Linked DNA regions of Rattus norvegicus. The protein of the gene in region 2 purifies or fractionates together with the protein of the main gene of each other region. This does not show direct contact. Links are inferred from orthologs where the notes say so. Each region holds a gene or a part of one and is shown on either strand. Other genes may lie near its edges.

Region 1 (5,812 bases), on a different chromosome or scaffold from region 2:
GATTCTTTAAAAAAACAACAACAAAAAAAACAAAACTGTTTGATCCCGCAAATTTCAGAGAGTACATAGATAATCCCAGTATCTTAATATTCTCTGAGTGAAAAAAATCAATTTTAATTTATGATGACCTAAAATCCTAGTGCCACATCTAAAGGCAATAGGAGGAACAGTCATCAAATTCTGTTACTCTATTTCCTAAGTTTGTCCATTTTCCCCCATCTCCTTCACTACCCTCTTTCTAGTGGATCTACCACATTTCTAAAATCGTATTCCAACCTGTTCTCCATAGTGGAGTCAAAACTAACCCACAAACTGATCATGGCACCACTCCCCACGGCCATTGTTCTTGCTTACAACTAGAAAGGCTTCAGTGTAGTGTGTCCCACTCCTTTTATCTTACTCAAACCAGCGTCACCTGCACTCTCAGAGCAACCACTGGCAGTCACCTTGTTTCTCATACAAGCAGAGTCCCTCCTCAGAGGCTCTTCTTGCTCCTCTTGGCCTCTATACTTATCTTTTAGGTGTCACTAAGCTTGTGCATCATGTCTTATAAGAAAGTCTCTTCCTGACCTCCGTACCTAGTTAAATCCTCCATTACTGACACTCAGAACAGATGTGACTCTCACTCATAATACTTACCAGATGCAGTTTCACAACGGCAGTGATCAGATTAATAGCTATTCCCCCAGGCTGGGGGATGCAGCTAGCACATATTCAATCCCCAGTACTGAAAAAAGAAACGCAGGCAGGGAGGCAGGCAGGAAGGCAGGAAGGCTTGTAGGCAGGCGCAGGCACATGAACACGCACACGCACTCTACTACACTGTAATCCCCACAAGGCAAAGTGTGGGTAAGAGTTTGCATTTTTGCTTTCCTTGTTTTTCTGCTCAGAGTTTTTCATAAAATTTAACATCATAAACCTCATCTTAAAGTTCAGCTTTGTGGCATCTTAATCTCAAACTTTTTCTCCACTCAGCTCCTAAGTTCTTCCTCCCCACGGACTGCTAGTATTCCTATACTACACTAGGTAGCAATGTGTGCCACATGTTAGTTATTTCCCTGTCTAAGGACTTCTACACTGAGTCCTCCTGAATTAACACTGCATTTTCACAATTGTCACCTACAAGAACCTGGGTAAGACAAGCCCACCTTGGAGCCGCAGTGCACGCAGCAGAAAGATAATGAAGATTAGAAACTTAAAACTATAATCTCTCCGGAAAAACCAAAATCAGTATCAATTTAGTCTGCAGTTAAGAGTGCCCCGGGGACTGAAGAGATGGCTCAGTGGTTAAGAGCACTGACTGCTCTTCCAAAGGTTCTGAGTTCAATTCCCAGCAACCACATGGTGGTTCACAACCATCTGTAATGAGATCTGATGCACACTTCTAGTGTGCACATACTAAATTAATAAAACCTTTTTATTTATTTAGAGAGCACATACATAAAATAAATAAAATCTTTTAAAATTAAAAAAAAGAGTGCCCCCTGATTTTCCTGTGTGTGTGTGTGTGTTGCAGAGGGAGGTCACATGTCTGTAACTCCAGCTACAGCAGTAGACATTCTAGATTCTGTGGGCACTGGTATTCTTCACATATGCATGAGTATGTGTACTTGTGTCAAAGAAAAAATAAGTACAAAAATATGATGGGGACGGTGGCAGGAGTGGTGGCACTTTTAGACTCAGAACTTTGAAGACAAGAGGCAGGTGGATTTCTGTTAACTTCCAAGCCAGCCGAGGCTGAATACTGAAATCCTGTCTCAGATAAATAAAGAAAGAAAAAAAGAAAGAAAGGAAGAAAGAAAAAAAGAAAGACAGACAGACAGACAGACAATTTATTTGGTAGTTGACATAATTGACAGCAGTGTTCCTTCTCTCATCAGACGAAAACTCGTCTTAATATATAAGAATATATCAGTACTGTGGCCCATCCTATAATCCCAGCACTCTCAAGGAACAGACAGAAAGATGGCAAGTTGGAGACCACCCGGACACACAGTGAGACCCTGTCTCCAAAAACAGACATAAAATATGTGTATACACATATTTATAATAATACATGTATATTAAAAGAAAGAGTGCACCTATTTCACATTAAAAATTACTTAGACACTCACTGGCAATATAGAATTAAAAAAGAAAAGATATATTTACTACATTCCTGGTCAGACGTCTATCATCTCTCGTATATGCTCCTTGTTTTGGACAGTCTCTCATTTTATGTAGCCCTGGCTGTCCTGGAACTCACTTGGCAGACCAAGCTGGCCCTAACTCACAGAGGTGCACCTGCCTCTGCCTCTGCCTCTGGAGTGCTGGGATTAAAGGTGTGCGCCACCACATCCAGCTTCATATGCTTTTGATGACTGCTATCCTGAAGAGCTACTATCTACCTACATGAACCTTAGTCCAAGGCCTTTTGTTTGTATGCTGGAGAATACTTGGTCCTGCCACGACCTGTTTGTTAGCATTTTAATTTTGTTATGAAAGCACAAGAATCAAGAACGACAACAACAAAAGCCCAGCAAAACAGGAATAAACATATTACATGACAAAAGAGACATCACCCCAGTAGAACTAAGAAAAGTTATCAATAACAGCAGGACAAGGCAGTTTGATGAGTTATACCGCACCAATGAGAGGAAGTAATATTAAAGTCTCTTTCTTACAAGTTAGTTAGCAGGATGCCTACCCTGATCATCACTTGGAAGCGTTAAATATTGTGGCCCTAAGAGAACATGGGTGAAAATAATGAAAACGTGCTTATTAATCAGAGCCAAGAAAGGGGATGGTGAACGCAAAAGCCCCAGCAACTAAACCCATTTTAAAGCGACCTCGAATGCATTAGTGCCATTCTACTTGGAGGCCAGGGAAAATATATGATCAAGGGTATCGGCTGGTCTTTAAGAGCAAAAACTGTTGAAAGTAGAGCTGAGGAAAATGAATGATGGGAAACCACCTAGTATTTTTAAAAGTGAGGTGGATTACGAAGCACAACTTCAATCCAAAGAAAAGATCGTTATGGAAAGGAGGGGTGGTACTGACTGGCTTAAGCCGTAGAAAGACGGGATGGTGAGATGAAACCTCTAACTCAAGCTTTCAAGGTAAACCCCAAGAACACCGGGCAGGAGAGGAACTGGGCTTCGACATGGCCCGGGATTCCCTCACCTTGGCCTTGTAGCTGGGCAGGTTGCAGAGGATGTCCGTGCGCAGAGCCTCTTCTGCTAGGCTGCGGGCGCACAGGCTCCGCCACACCTCGCTGTTCTCATCGCCGTGGAGGCAGCGGTACCAGTGCTTGCACACCAGGGCGCAGCTCCGCAGCTCGGACAGCTCCAGGTAGGAGAACACCAACTCCAGCACCCGGCTGGGCAACCGGCCGCCGATCCCGGAGGACGCGGATCCCGCGCCGGCGCTGGCGCCGGCGCCGCCGCTGGCGCCGGCGCCGCCGCTAGCGCCGCCCGAGGCTGCCCCAGCCCCCGGGCCCGGCGCCGCCATCGCCTCACCAGCCGGCCCGAGGGCCGCCGCTGCCGTCGCTGCGCCCCGTCTCGGCGCGGGAGGCCAAGCCTCGCCTAGAGACCGGAGCAGCTCGCTCACCGCCCCTTTCAGCGACAGCCGCTCGCGCCTCCACCGCTCCCGCCCCTGCCCGGGGGCGTCCGCTGCGCGCCCCGCCTCACTGAGGGCAGATGGCGCGGGCCACTCGGGTCCCCGCCCCTCGTAGCCGCTCAGCGCGGGCGCCGGAACCACCCGCCTCGCCCTGCCTGCCCGCGACGCGCCCCGGGATCCGCCATGCGGGTTGAGGGCAAGAAGCAAGGGCGCACGCCCAGCTCGGCCGCCGCGCCTCTCAGCCCGGAAGTGACTGTTCGGTGGAGGCGCCTCGCTCCCTAAGCTTGATGGGATTGGATGCTGCGCCTGAGGTCATCACTACGCGCCACCGGGAACTGGAAGCCCAGGTATGAGGCTGTTGGCTAGTGGGATTCTGATCTGTTCTCAAGTGCGTTTTTCTGTTTTTCCTCTAATGGCCTTGAGTCGGCTTTCCTTGGCCTCTCTTCCTACGGAGTTTCCCGTTTCATTTGCTTTCTGCTCATTCTCCAACTTTGTTTACGACAAAGTTTGCTAGCCAGTTCTTAGATCCTTCATCTTCAGTTCGCTTGGATCCATTAACTTTACCTTTGGGCAGTTGGAGACCTCTTGTCGTGGTCAGGTTAGATCCATTTTACTTTATTTTTTACCTTGAGAAATTGACATCGTCTTTTCCTGGCTAGGACAGTAGGGGACTCAACAGAACATCTATACAGTATCCATTCTAAAAGTAAGGTGGCTAAATCTGAGCAACCGTCGTAAATACGCAGGTTTTTATTATATTTGATATTAAACAAGTTTGGGTAATTTCAAAGGGTCATTTGAATACCAAGTGTCACAGTCTTTTGGACAAAATATAGTGAATTCGGTTCATCTCATAGTAAAAAGATTAAGGAAATATGTGTAGTTTTTTGTTTTTTGTTTTGTAATTTGTAATCCCAACAGTGGGAGGAAAAGAACCTAGCATTATTTGAACTTCAGTTCAAGGGGAGCCAAGCCTTCCAGCTTCACGAATGACCGAGGTGTACGCATACACACGCCATACACATAAAACAAAAGAACTACAGTGTGAGCCAGGCATTGATGAGATCTTTTAATCTGACTTTTATAATTCTCAAGACTATGAAGTGATTATTGTAATAGGGCCCACAGGCTCAGTAGTCAAGTCCAGTATTGTGCAATTTTTTGTAGCAAGAAACCTTGCCTGAGATCCACCTATGTGCAATCCACTTCCTGATTTTTAGTAAAAACAAATGAACAACAACTGCTTCCCTACTGGGGTATAATTACATGCTTATGCCTTGCTAATCCCTTCCTCAAGGTGTCTTCCACCAAGTAACCCAAATTTTTGTCTATTGTGTCTAGGCTAATGTCACAGTCTTTGAGTTGTTTTGGTTGTCACTTAGTTTCTCCACATCAGGACTAACTTTAGTCCAAATCTATGAAGAAATGTTGACCCACACATTATAGTAATGGCCTCTCTCTTCATGGCTCCTGAATGTTGAACCAAATTTTGTCTGAATGACAATTGCTTTTCCTTTAAATTTTGTGGATCTGAAAAGAAAGTAAAGAACTACATACATAGAATGGTTAGATTGAAAGGCATGGGCAAAGCACCATAGTACTGAGAGTATAGACTCTAGTTACTTGGGGACCCTAGGTGAGACAGATTCAGACGGTCTTTCTTTCTCTCTCTCTTTCTCTCTCTCTCTCTCTCTCTCTCTCTCTCTCTCTCCCTCCCTCCCTCTCTCTCTCTTTCTTTATTTCTCTCTGTCATCTATCTATCTATTTCAGGCTTGTACAAATGGATAGTGGAAATTCATAAATAAAGGTATGACTGAAAAAACACTGATGGCAGAGATCATCCACTTATCAAATACTTTATCTTGTCTTAAGACGAATCTTTGAAGTATCCAATGGTATCATTCTGCTCTCTTTTGTTTTTTTTTTTGGGGGGGGGGTGGTGCTTGTTTTTTAAGACTGGATTTTTCTGTATAGCCCTAAATAATCTGGACCTTGATATGTAGACCAGACTAGCCTTGGATTCACAGCCGCCTTTGTGCTAGTATTAAAAGGCATGCCCCACTGCCCAGCTTCATTCTGTTGTGTCTTTACCCCAGTTGTTCATATGACTCTAGTGGCATGTCGTCACACAACTAGAGCCAGGATGGTTTCAAAGTGTAAGAAGATGGCCTTCATCACTCCCTTCTTGTTACAGGTCCTTCACCTGCTCTTCATG
Region 2 (5,821 bases):
AGTAAAAAGCAAGTAAACTACTCCAAAGAGTAGACTAGGATATGCTCACTTCTAAACAAGTGCAAGACCACATACAAGAAAATAAAGGTCATACAGGCAGCTGTCAGTAAGATCCCTAAAACCCGTAAGGAGCTTAAATTTAGAGTCTTTTTTTTTTTTCTGTTTTGGTTTTTCAAGGTTTCCTTGTGTATCTCTGACTGTCCTAGAATTCACTCTGTAGACCAGGCTGGCCTCAACTCACAGAGAGATCTGCCTGCCTCTGCCTCCCAGTGCTGGGGTTAGGGTAAAGGTGTGAACCCAGCTCCTTTTAAATTTTTTTATTACCTATTGTTCAGATGTCCAAGTTTGAAATCGTCTGGCTAAGTACCTACCAAATTAAAAAAAAAGACCTGCTTCAGCCAGGCAGTGGCGAAGCATGCCTTTTAATCTGGGCACTTGGGAGACAGAGGCGGATCTAGAGTTCAAGACCAGCCTGGTCTACAGAGAAAGTCCCAGGGGAGCCAAAAGCTGCACAGAGAAACTCAAAACAAACAAACAAAGCTGGAGAGATGGCTGAGTGGTTAAAAGAGCACTGACTGCTCTTCCAGAGGTCCTGAGTTCAAATCCCAGCCACCACACGGTGGCTCACAACCATCTGTAATGAGATCTGATGCTCTCTTTCTGGTGTGTCTGAAGACAGCTACAATGTACTTACATGTAATAAATAGGGCAGCCAGGACTACACCTAAAGACCTTGTCTCAAAAAAGCAAACAAAACAACAAAATACATTTAAGTCATAGTGGCAGGTACTATAAACCCAGTACTTGAGATGCAGGAATTCAGACATTGGGCACACAGCCAAGTTCAAGTCCAGTCTGGGTTACATAAGAATCTGTCTCAAACAAATATAAATTTAAAATAGCATGGTAATACTGTATGCCTTTAATTCCAGCACGTGGGAGTCAAGGTACAGGTGCATCTTTGTGAGTTCAAGGCCAGTGTACACAGTGAGTTCCAGAACTGTCAGGGATATACAGAGGAACCAGTCCTGTGAAGTCCAGTTTTTGGAAAGATGAGGATCATAATTTCAAGGACTGACTAGGTTACATAATGAGGTCAAGCCAGCCTTGGTGGAACTCATTAAGAGCCTGCTTAAAATGAAATATAAAAGAGGCTGGGGATACAGCTCCTGAGTGTAATGCCTAACATGTATAAAGCTCTAGTTCAATCTGCAATATTGCCCTCTCCCTCTGCCCAAAAGGTGAGACAGAGTATAAGTATTTCCACAATCCCAGCATTTTGGCAAACAGAAGCATTAGGAGTTCATGGCCATCTTCTTGATACATACAAAATAAATTTAAGGCTAGCCTAGTTTTCTTGCCCCTGTCTCAAAAACTGATCTCAACAACCCCCCCATCCAAAAATGCATCAACTGAGATAAAATATAAGTCATTAGGAAAAATATAATTTCATATATTAAAAAAATTAAGCAACTAGCTCCTAACATGACTTGAGTTTTAGGAAAAACCAAAACCAAACAAAAGCAAACCAGTATTAATACTAAAAGCTCTAAACCAGCAATTTATCATCTTCAGATTTCCCCCTCATTACTCCAAAAGAGTAATTCAAGACCTCTTTAAAATTTCATGGGGTTGGGGATTTAGCTCAGTGGTAGAGCGCTTGCCTAGCAACCGCAAGGCCCTGGGTTCGGTCCCCAGCTCCAAAAAAAAAAAAGAAAAAAAAAATTTCATAAGCAACTTTTTTTAGTAGTTTGTTTTTGAGACAGGGTTCCTCTGTGTTGCCCTAGCTGTCCTGCAACTTGCTCTGTAGCAAGGACTGGTTTTGAACTCAGCCATCAACCTGCCTCTGCCTCCAGTGCTGGGATTAAAGGTGGGCACCTGGGGTTGGGGATTTAGCTCAGCGGTAGAGCGCTTGCCTATCGAGTGCAAGGCCCTGGGTTCGGTCCCCAGCTCCGAAAAAAAGAAAAAAGAAAAAAGAAAAAAAAAAGGTGGGCACCAAAATCCCCAACTCACATGTAACTCTGCAGGTCTTATGCTTCTGAGGAATACCTGGGTGTTATAGGGTTAGCACTTAAAATAACTATTGTACCTATTTAAGGGTCAAACACTTAAGACTCGGCGTATCTCCTAAAATATTCATTCAGCTTTCTGAGACACTTGTCCCCATTCCTCAAGTAAACAATAATTGGGGGGGGGGGGGGGATAAAGCTTGTTTCACAATCATCCATGGTTGAAAAGACTCAAGAGTTCACTTTTCAACTCACAAATATGCTGCAGAACAGAGAAGCCCAGAGCAGCAGACCCTCCTTATAAGGCAACAATAAAAGTTAAAGAGACCAGCTTTTAATAGCAAAACACTATGTTCTCTTTATGGTCCCCAGCACTGTAATGATCACTCAGGAACAAGTCTATGTGGCTAATAAAGTTATTTTAAAAGACAATTCCATATTTCCTTGAAATAATTCACAATAAAGACATGCTTAGTCATAGTCAAATTTAGGTATCAGGTTACTTGCAAGAGAGCCAGGGAGGCAATCAGTTAATCTGTAATTCAATGCACTCTGTAATCCTAGACTTCACTTTTGTTGTGGTGGAATTAAGTGCAAAATTTTTAAGTAATAATGTATGAGATTTCGATTTGATATGCTTTCAAAAAACCCTTCTTTAGTTCTCTAAGCTCCTGGACTTGGAAACTAAACCACCATCCAAGTCTAGCATGAGAATTCTAGTACACTTAAAACAGACTTTAAAAACAAACCTGTTTTAAGTGACTCGAAATTCTGCCACTTGTTACTGGACTGCAGGGCAGAAGGGAGTGCATTGTTCTTTGCCACAACACAGTCTACTGTAACATTCTGATGAAAAACTGAGTCTCCAAACCTGAGGACTCCATGAAAAAGTGAGCCAAGAGGCATGTTTTAACACTATCCCTTAAAAACCCAACACCTTGGGTTTTAGCGTCAAGGGCTCCTAAAAGTCACACACCTCAGACGACAAGGTCTATTACAATAAGTTCAGAGACTGCAGGACGTGACAAAAAAAAAAAAAAAAGCGAAGAAATATCGGGAACCTGTTACCTGCATATTCGGTGGTTAAATAGGTAAGACCAGTAAGGAGCAAATGTCGCCAGATACAGGAGGAAGGGAGAGAGCTAAGTATCGAGTGGCAACGACCGCCACCACCCGGAAGGCCCGGGACCCCTACTCAAAGCCTTGCGGCCAACCCGCCCTGGAGCGCGGAGCAACAAGCCTGTCGCTAAGGCAGGCCCGGGACGAAGCCTAGGCCTTGCAGCCGCGTTCGGGGCCGACTGACGTCGCCCGCAAAAGAGCAGGCCTGCCACAGAGCTGGATACAGCAGCGAGCGAGCGCCGAAAGGATGGGCGGCCCTAGAAGGCCTGACTCGGCCGCCTCGCGCCTCCCGCGGTCCGGGGTCGGCAACGGGCCGCACAGCGCCTCAGGACACGCCAGGCCGACTCGCCGCCTCGTGCACGCCACAGCCAACCCGGGGCTCCCACCCAGCCCCTCCCTCCAGGACCTGGTCCGGCTCGCGGGCTGCTACTCACCGTGCTCGGTCTCAAGACCGCAGGCCTGAGGCTGCCGAACAGAGTTCACAACCGAATAGAAGTCTCGAGAACAAGGCCACTACAGCAGCGCCGCGCGGCGTCAGCTTTTATAGGAGCGGGAAGAGGGCACCGAGGACCCCGAGTTCGTGACGTCACACAGCCGGCCGGGCTGGCCGTTGAGAGTGCCTGACGGCATGCGGAAGGCGGGTGGCAGGTTCTGGGCGCCGCAGAGGTCTCCTGGAGAGGTGCTGAGCGGCGATGGGTGGAAGGGTGGCTGAGCAGGAGGGGGACTTCCACTTTACTCCGCCGTCCTGAACAACGCCGTGCTCTCCTTCCGTGCGGACGCCGGCACCGGCTGGGGAACCATCGCGACCCGAAGGGTCTTTCAGGCAGAGGCTGTCTTAAACTGCTTGAAAGACCCCAGTCCTGAAAAGCCTGGAAAGAACAAACCGCAAAACCGGTTGTGGGTGGGTGTGCTTTAAAGGAGTCACCTCAGCCTGACCACTGTTACTCTCCTAATAACCCAAGGAAATAAGGGTTTTTGGTTTGTTTGGTTTTTTTTTTTTTTTTCCGACCTGGAATTAAGGACTTGAACCTTACTCCACTGATAACTGAGCTTTAAAAAATTACGGATGTTGAGTCAAGGTGTCTCTAAATACTCCTGACTTGGTGCACCTGCTTAGTTTTTATTTTCTTTGCATTTTAAGACGGGGTCTCGTTTGGCACAGAGTGACTGCAAATTCATTGCGTAGACCAGGTTGGTCTAAAACTCGTGAGATTACCGGCTTTTTTTTTTCACCACATATACTCGCCTTATACTCTTTTTGTTTTGTTTTGTTTTGTTTTGAAACAGGGTCTTACTAGATAAACCAGGTTTGGAACTCGCTATTTAGACCAGGCTGGCTTTAAATTCAGATCTGTGTTTCCAATAGCTCAGCGCTGGGAGGCAGGCACCACCTTGTTGGATAATCTTAACCTTTATTTCCTACCTTTGAACTTTGAAGAGGCTTTCACACCCCAAATAGCCATTGTTGGAGTGAAGCGCCAAGCCTGGAGAGAGAAAACAGGGATGTGGAATGGAGGGTATATTCTTCGGGTAATCATGCTCTCTGCCTGTGTGTGAGGCCTGTGAGGCCCGCGCTGGGAATCCATCCAGTAGTGAACCAGGACAGTCAGCCCAACCTGAACAGACTATGCTGTATGGGCAGCTCACAGAAGGCTGTGATAAGGTCGCTAGAATGAAACAACTTTGAAGTAAAGGGAGAGGTCTGAAAGGACCCATCTGGCCTCAGCCCAGCCAGGAACTGGGCACTTGCCTGCCCTGCCCCGCTGTGTCTAGGGAGCATCACTATCCCCACCAAGGCGCCAGGCTCACCTAGCCAATGAGCACATGATGGTATTCCTGGCACCACAAAGACAAAAGACGTTTCCACACAGGGCCTCCTAAAGAAACCAGAGCCTACAGTTTCTCCAGGACAAGTCTGGGCAGAGAGGCCAAGCAATGGCTTGAATGACCAGGTCTTTGTCTGATGGCTGTGGTATCCAATGTCTGCCAGGTGCCACAGCTGATGACAGAAGATGAAAGGCCCACAGTTCTCAGGCTCTTTATCTGCAGCACTGCCTGCCCTTCGCAGCTCCTACTTAGGGCCTGCCAGGAAAGGCCCACTTGGAGAGCCTTTTCCTCTCACATGGCATAAACTTGGTGGGCTCCTTAAACAGTCCTGGGTCATACAGCTAGTCTAAGAAGCCAGTACACTGCCTGTCACAAGATAGGTGTATGTTTCTCCAGAGGGATGAAAGCCTCGGTACAGGAATTAACCAATGCTTGGAGGAGAAAATGGAGGTTTTAGTGCTGGGACAAAGCTTAGCATGCCCAGGACCCTGGGTTCAATCCTTGCGGTGCCCAGACTATTTAAGGTACAAATTAGTTCACAAAAGATGCACAAGAAATTGTTTGCCTCAAAGAAATGGAGCTAGCAGGTGGGGCAAATGTTGGGTGATTTGTATATTTTCCTGCCATTTGCCTATGGGTTCATAGGCATGTTTTACATAGTAATTTTTTTCCCTGAAGTGAGTTAGGCACAGCACTACAACTTTTTTTTGCAAGTCTGTTTTCTGGTTCTGGGGATGTGGTTCAATTGGTGGTGTGCCTGCCTTGCATGTGTGAGGCCATGGGTTTGGTTCCCAACACCCCCATAAACTGTACAAGTCTGTAACCTCAGGAGACAAAAACGGGAGACTCAGAAGTTCATGACCATC
Region 3 (5,792 bases), on a different chromosome or scaffold from region 2:
GTGCAGCATGCTTGATTGCTACATCAAATACCCACGATATTATAACTAAGTGGTACGCCTATCTCCTGGAGTCATTCAGCAATGAAGACACTTTTCTTCTCCTCTTTAAGACACAAGTAGAGGGGTTGGGGATTTAGCTCAGCGGTAGAGCACTTGCCTAGCAAGCGCAAGGCCCTGGGTTCGGTCCCCAGCTCCGGAAAAAAAAAAAGAAAAGAAAAAAAGAAAAAGAAAAAGAAAAAGAAAGACAAAAAGAAAAAAAGAGACACAAGTAGAGGTGGTTGTGATGGCTAGTGTCTAAATTCTTGGCCCTCAGAATCTGAGAGGGGACCAAGCCAGCCTTGGCTACAGCAGAAGACCCCATCCTAAAAGTCTAAACAAACCAACATAAGGAGAATGATTATAAGAGTTATTTATGACATTTTGGCAACTGGTATTTTAATTTCTAAGTTGAAAATTGGAAATATATATTTATTCATGTTTCCTAACATATTTTACCTTTATATTTACATTACTTGATCTTCCTGACTGTTCTGCAAATTCTTCAACCACTTAAGTGAAGCATATGTGACTAAGAGACCATGCTAGTATTTTATGAGGTTGGGGCTCTGTGTTATCAGAAAGTAGAAATAACCTACCAAGTTTTTCCTAGGATTTGGAAGGATTCCCATTTTCTCTTCCTTGGTGACATGATCCTCCTGAAATCTGAAATACTTGGCTTAGTGCTGTAGACTGTGGCCAGCAAAGTAAGCAGAGCCTGATCAGACCTGAGGGACCTCAGATGGATGTCTTTCCTGTGTGTAACCAGAAGAGTGATGGCTTCAAAGATTCCCCCCTACTAGTATCCACAAAACTCCTTCTTATTGTACACGTGAGGGAAAAAAGAAGACTTAAAAGCAACAGAAGTTTTAGTCATTCATTTCAGGGGAATATTGCATTGAAAGTTTTAAAATACTAAAAAAATAAGAGAAAATAAGCTGTCTTTTGTTTTCAAAGGGTAAATATGAATTTTTCAGAAAACAATAATTACATTTTATTATATTTTATGTGCAATTCTTAAATATTAAATACGAACATTTAAGGCACGTATAGTTGGGTCTTTATTTTAGTAAGGTTTTGTATTTCTCTCCCTCCCTCTCTCTCCCTCCTTCCCTCCGTGTGTGTGTGTGGGGGGGGTGGGGGTGGTTTGGTTTGGTTTGGTTTGGTTTGGTTTGGTTTGATTTTCAAGACAGGATTTCTTTGTGTAGCTGACCCGGAACTAGCTCTGCCCTCCAGGCTGGCCTTGAACTCACAAGAGATCCACCCGCCTGGTGAGTTGCCTGCATTAAAGGTTTAGCCACCGCCTCCTGGCTGCCCCGTTTTCTTATGCACACTTTTTCTACTCTTGAGACATCGTCTCACTAAATAGCTGACTTGGAACTAACTTGAACTCATGCAGTTCATTTTAAATGTAATATCTATTTGGGTCACTGGAACTTCATGGTGTACTATTTGATGTCACAACCAAGGATTAACAAAATAAATGGACATCTGAATTTCTTGTAATACACCACTTGGTACCAACAATAGCTCAAGTTGGCATTTTAAATTGACCCATCTTTATTAGAGGCGAGGAAAAGTTTACTGGAATACCAGGCATAGTGACACATGCCTTTAGTCCTAGAACAGAACTCATGAGACCGAGGCGGGTGGATTGTCAGTGAATCGCAGGACAACTGGGAGACCCTGCCTCAAAAACAACAAACAAAAAATATATACAGGAGAGGCGAAGCAGTAGTAAACAGTAAAAATATCAGTTTCCCTGTGTTGAATGGGCAGCACCACCGAGAGAGAGGAGCAGCTAGTCAGCTGGTAAGGGAGCGGCTAGTCAGCTGAGTCCATACAGTCCTGCCTAGGCGCCACCCAGCGACCAGGGGAAGTCGCTACACCCCTTAGCTGACAGGAATGCTGACACTCCGAGGCCCCGAGGGCTAGTCTGGTCCGCCCAGCTGCTCTGGTAGGATCCTGGGAGGTTACAGACCCACAGAGGATCGGAGAGTTGCGGAAGGCTGCCGCTTGCCCCGCCCTTCTCTGCGCAGGCGCGTCCCTCAGGCGCCCGCCCTGCCAGATTCCCGTCGGGCCTTTGCTCGCGGCGACCGGCGCTCCTGGTGACGTCACTGGCCCCGACCGCCCTCATTGGTCCATTTCAATAGTCGCGGGCTACTTGAACTACAAGAACAGCCGGCGGGCCGCGCGCGGCTCGCGGCACTTGGGCTCTGCGCTCCTCCCTCCCGCAGCGCCTGCTCCGTGCGTCGGCCGCCAGGGTCCCGCGCAGCCCGGGAGCGGCGGGCGCCTTGCACGCTCTGCCGCCGACGGATCCGGACCGGAGCCGCAATGCCGGGCAACTCGAGACAGGCGGGCTCGGCCCTGCTCTCCCAGCAGGAAGACCAGGAGAATGTCAACCCCGAAAAAGTGGCGCCAGCCCAGCAGCCGCGGGCGCAGGCGGTGCTGAAGGCCGGGAAGGTGCGGGGACCGGCGCCGCAGCAGAGGCTCAAGACTCGGCGGGTAAAAGGGCGCGGGGGTCTGTCGGAGGGCCGGGCGGAAGCGGTCTTGGGTTTACCAGCCCAGAGGGCCAAAAAGCATGCTGAGCTTTCTAGGGGTAGTCGGGCTGCAGCCTTTGCGGTCCGGGCGTTTTTAGTACCAAATAGCCCCACGAGCCCTGCGGACCCGTGTATACTGCCCTTCAGCACTAGTGGAGCGGTCTTCCTAAAAATTCTAGGGTCATACCAAGCAGTGCCCCGCGTGTCGACTTCGGCCATGTACCTTTCCCTCCACTTTTAAAGCCAGGCATTGCAGTAGGATATAGATCCCTTCCCCCTCACCATCTGCTTCACAGATTACTACTTAAGGGAAGGACATAAAGCAAGTATTCTGCTTGGTAAATTCCGCCATTTTAGCCAGACTTGCTGTTTTGCTCCACCCTGAGGCTAAAGTTGTGAATCAGTTCTTTCCCCTAACTTTAGTCTTTGATTAGTTTGGAATTCCAATCCGTTGCATTTATAGCCTTTGTAGAAATGGCTGTGACAAATCGGTTTACTCACCTTACCTGGACTTTGACTCATGAACTTACATTTTTCTTAAGAGTATTTGGAAATAAAAGTTGGTACCCACAGGGCAAGAAGCAAAGTATTAAAAAAGAATTCCTTCTCTTTAGGTTGCGCCTCTTAAGGACCTTCCTATAAACGATGAGCACGTCCCTACTGTTCCTTCATGGAAAGCAGTCAGTAAACAGCCTGCCTTCACCATTCATGTGGATGAAGCTGAAGAGACTCAGAAGAGGCCAGCTGAGCAAAAAGAAACTCAGTGTGAAGATGCCCTGGCTTTTAGTGCCGCTGTCTCTTTACCCGGAGCCAGAAAACCACTGGTACCTCTTGATTATCCAATGGATGGTAGTTTTGGTAAGGTTACTCTTTATTTTTACCAGTCCCTGTTTCTTCTTTCCTTCCCTCCTTGCTGTCTTTTTTTCCCCCTCTGAGTTTCTCGAGTATTCTTGACTGTCCTGAAACTCATACTCTATAAGACTAGGCTGGCCTTGAAATAAGAGATCCACCTACCTCTGCCTCCTGATTGCTGGGATTAAAGGCATGTGCTACCACACCAAACCTTTACCTTTTGAGACAGGATCTCAATCTGTAGCTCAGACTAACCTTGAACTCAAACCGTCCTGCCTCAGCCTCTCAAATTCTAGATTACAGGCCTGGCACCATCCGTACCTTGCTTGGCATACTCTAAAGATTGTTATTAAGCTAAAAAATTAGTTACTTAATTGGGTTAGTGATATTTTTGAGGTTTTTTTTAATTTTGCAAATTTCAGGTTTATTTACATTCAGTTTACGAATCAAAATGTCGTTTCAAATATATTTAAAATACGTAGCATTTTTAAAATTTTCACTCCAAATGTGTTCATCATAGCCATGACTAACGGATTTTACCACTGTACTTTAGCACTGATCGACTGCAGTCACCAAAAGTCCTGCGGTTGATATTTTTGAGTTTTAAGACTATGCTTACCTGCTCATAACACAGTGAGTTAAGATTACTACAGTGGGCTTAGAAAGGATCACAGATCCACTGACCTATAAAAGGACTCAAATCCTTAACCAGCAGGGAGGGCACTGCTGGACAAAGCTACATCAATTTTAATTAGATCTTAAATGCCTATCTTAATATGACTTTATAAGTGTTTGGCTGAGATAATAGATTTCAGTTTTATGTATGATTCACTTCTTAACATGCCAGTCCTAAGAGTGCTCCTTGAGCCTACAGTTTTAAGCATTATATCTGCCATTCCTTTAAAACTAATTTAAATGTTTGTCAGATTGCAGGTCAGACACATGGAAGGCAGAATAGCTGCTATAGACAGCTCTGCCGGTGCTATGATCTCACTGTGGAGACCAGAGATGTTGGTATCTGTCACTTTCTACCTTATGCTATATGTGTGCCAGGGGAAGGAGTATTACGCTTGCCTGTGCTGGTACATGTAGAGGCTAGAGAGAGTACTTGACTTTGGGGTATCTTCAATCACTTTTCTATATCATTTCTTAATCAAAGGTCTCATTGGGGCTCACTGATTTGGCTAGACAGCCTGGCCATCAAACTGCAGGGAACTGAGTATTTCAACCCTTTTTCTTCTTCCCGTCTAGGGTTGCAGACAATGCCACAACATCTAGCTTGAGTGGTGCTGGGAATGCAATGCACATCTTCATGCTTATCCAGCAGGCACTGCACTGCCATTTCCCAGCCCCCCAGTTCACTTAGTTCTACTGATGGGGTAGGAGGAGGGTATGGAAACTATTATTACACAGATTCCCCTATCTCAAGATAATTTAAATGGTAAAAACTAGAGCTGAGTATATTAATGCCCAATAGCACTCAGGAGGCTAAGGCAAGATTGTCAGCCTAGGTTACGGAGTGAATTTCAGGCCAGTCTGGCCCACAGAATGAGACCCTGTTTAACAAACACCAAGTCCCTTACAGATTATAGTTAGTCTGTTTGAACATGGTATGACAGACTTGATATCTTTACTAACATTTGGTAATATATGCCATTTACCCAATTCTAGTTACTCCCTCATTGTGATCTGACTATGTCAACCTGTAGGTTCTGCGATCTCAAAACATACATAATATATATTTATTTATTTATTTTAAAATTTGATGTTAAGTACTTGTCCTAACAGAACCATTGTATTATCTACTCATCTCTTGAGGAAGATGACACGTTAAGGTAATTCTCAGTCCTCTTAGTAGCCTACTGATGTATACTTCTTTTTTGGGATTAAGGTTATCCTAGAGCTATGAGGACAGTAGCCCTAAAACCAGAATAAGATATTCAGTGTTGCTTTGCCATTAGGGTGTTTTTATCGAAAGAGATAAATACTTTGACTTTAATGTCATACACAGAATCACCCCATGCTATGGATATATCTATTGTCTTAGAAGACGAAAAGCCAGTGAATGTTAATGAAGTACCTGACTATCATGAAGATATTCACACGTACCTTAGGGAAATGGAGGTAAGGCTCTGTTCATCAAAAATGGCTAAGTGAAGCAGAGAGGCTAACGATGGACACCTGCTAACTGCTAGCAAGTTACTCCAACGCTAAACTTAACGGCTACAGTGTATGTTAATTGTGTCTTTGTGAATGGTGAAGTAACTAATCATAGTTTTAATTAACCCTACTGAGTTTTTCTTCAGGTTAAATGTAAACCTAAAGTGAGTTATATGAAGAGGCAGCCAGACATCACTAACAGTA

What was found. Proteins that work in one complex are often made in the same cells at the same time.
Region 1: the proteins of Skp1 (region 2) and Fbxo45 purify together in Homo sapiens (affinity purification with western blotting; 7 studies listed by BioGRID and IntAct, with this or other methods). This does not show direct contact. The link is inferred for Rattus norvegicus from reciprocal best matches to the Homo sapiens genes SKP1 and FBXO45.
Region 3: the proteins of Skp1 (region 2) and Ccna2 purify together in Homo sapiens (affinity purification with mass spectrometry; 4 studies listed by BioGRID and IntAct, with this or other methods). This does not show direct contact. The link is inferred for Rattus norvegicus from reciprocal best matches to the Homo sapiens genes SKP1 and CCNA2.

Annotation. Positions count from the first base shown.
Region 1 is NC_086029.1:82,054,168-82,059,979, reverse strand, and holds the start of Fbxo45 (F-box/SPRY domain-containing protein 1), read right to left. Parts: upstream 3,524-5,812; 5' UTR 3,490-3,523; coding exon 3,163-3,489; intron 177-3,162; exon of another isoform or gene 34-176; intron 1-33. UniProt on the Homo sapiens protein: Component of E3 ubiquitin ligase complex consisting of FBXO45, MYCBP2 and SKP1. Functions in substrate recognition but also plays an important role in assembly of the complex.
Region 2 is NC_086028.1:36,900,732-36,906,552, reverse strand, and holds the start of Skp1 (S-phase kinase-associated protein 1), read right to left. Parts: upstream 3,646-5,821; 5' UTR 3,563-3,645; intron 3,525-3,562; exon of another isoform or gene 3,084-3,524; coding exon of another isoform or gene 3,078-3,083; intron 1-3,077. UniProt on the Homo sapiens protein: Essential component of the SCF (SKP1-CUL1-F-box protein) ubiquitin ligase complex, which mediates the ubiquitination of proteins involved in cell cycle progression, signal transduction and transcription.
Region 3 is NC_086020.1:121,358,174-121,363,965, reverse strand, and holds the start of Ccna2 (cyclin-A2), read left to right. Parts: upstream 1-2,269; 5' UTR 2,270-2,370; coding exon 2,371-2,541; intron 2,542-3,190; coding exon 3,191-3,434; intron 3,435-4,354; coding exon of another isoform or gene 4,355-4,442; intron 4,443-5,439; coding exon 5,440-5,552; intron 5,553-5,734; coding exon 5,735-5,792. UniProt on the Homo sapiens protein: Cyclin which controls both the G1/S and the G2/M transition phases of the cell cycle. Functions through the formation of specific serine/threonine protein kinase holoenzyme complexes with the cyclin-dependent protein kinases CDK1 or CDK2.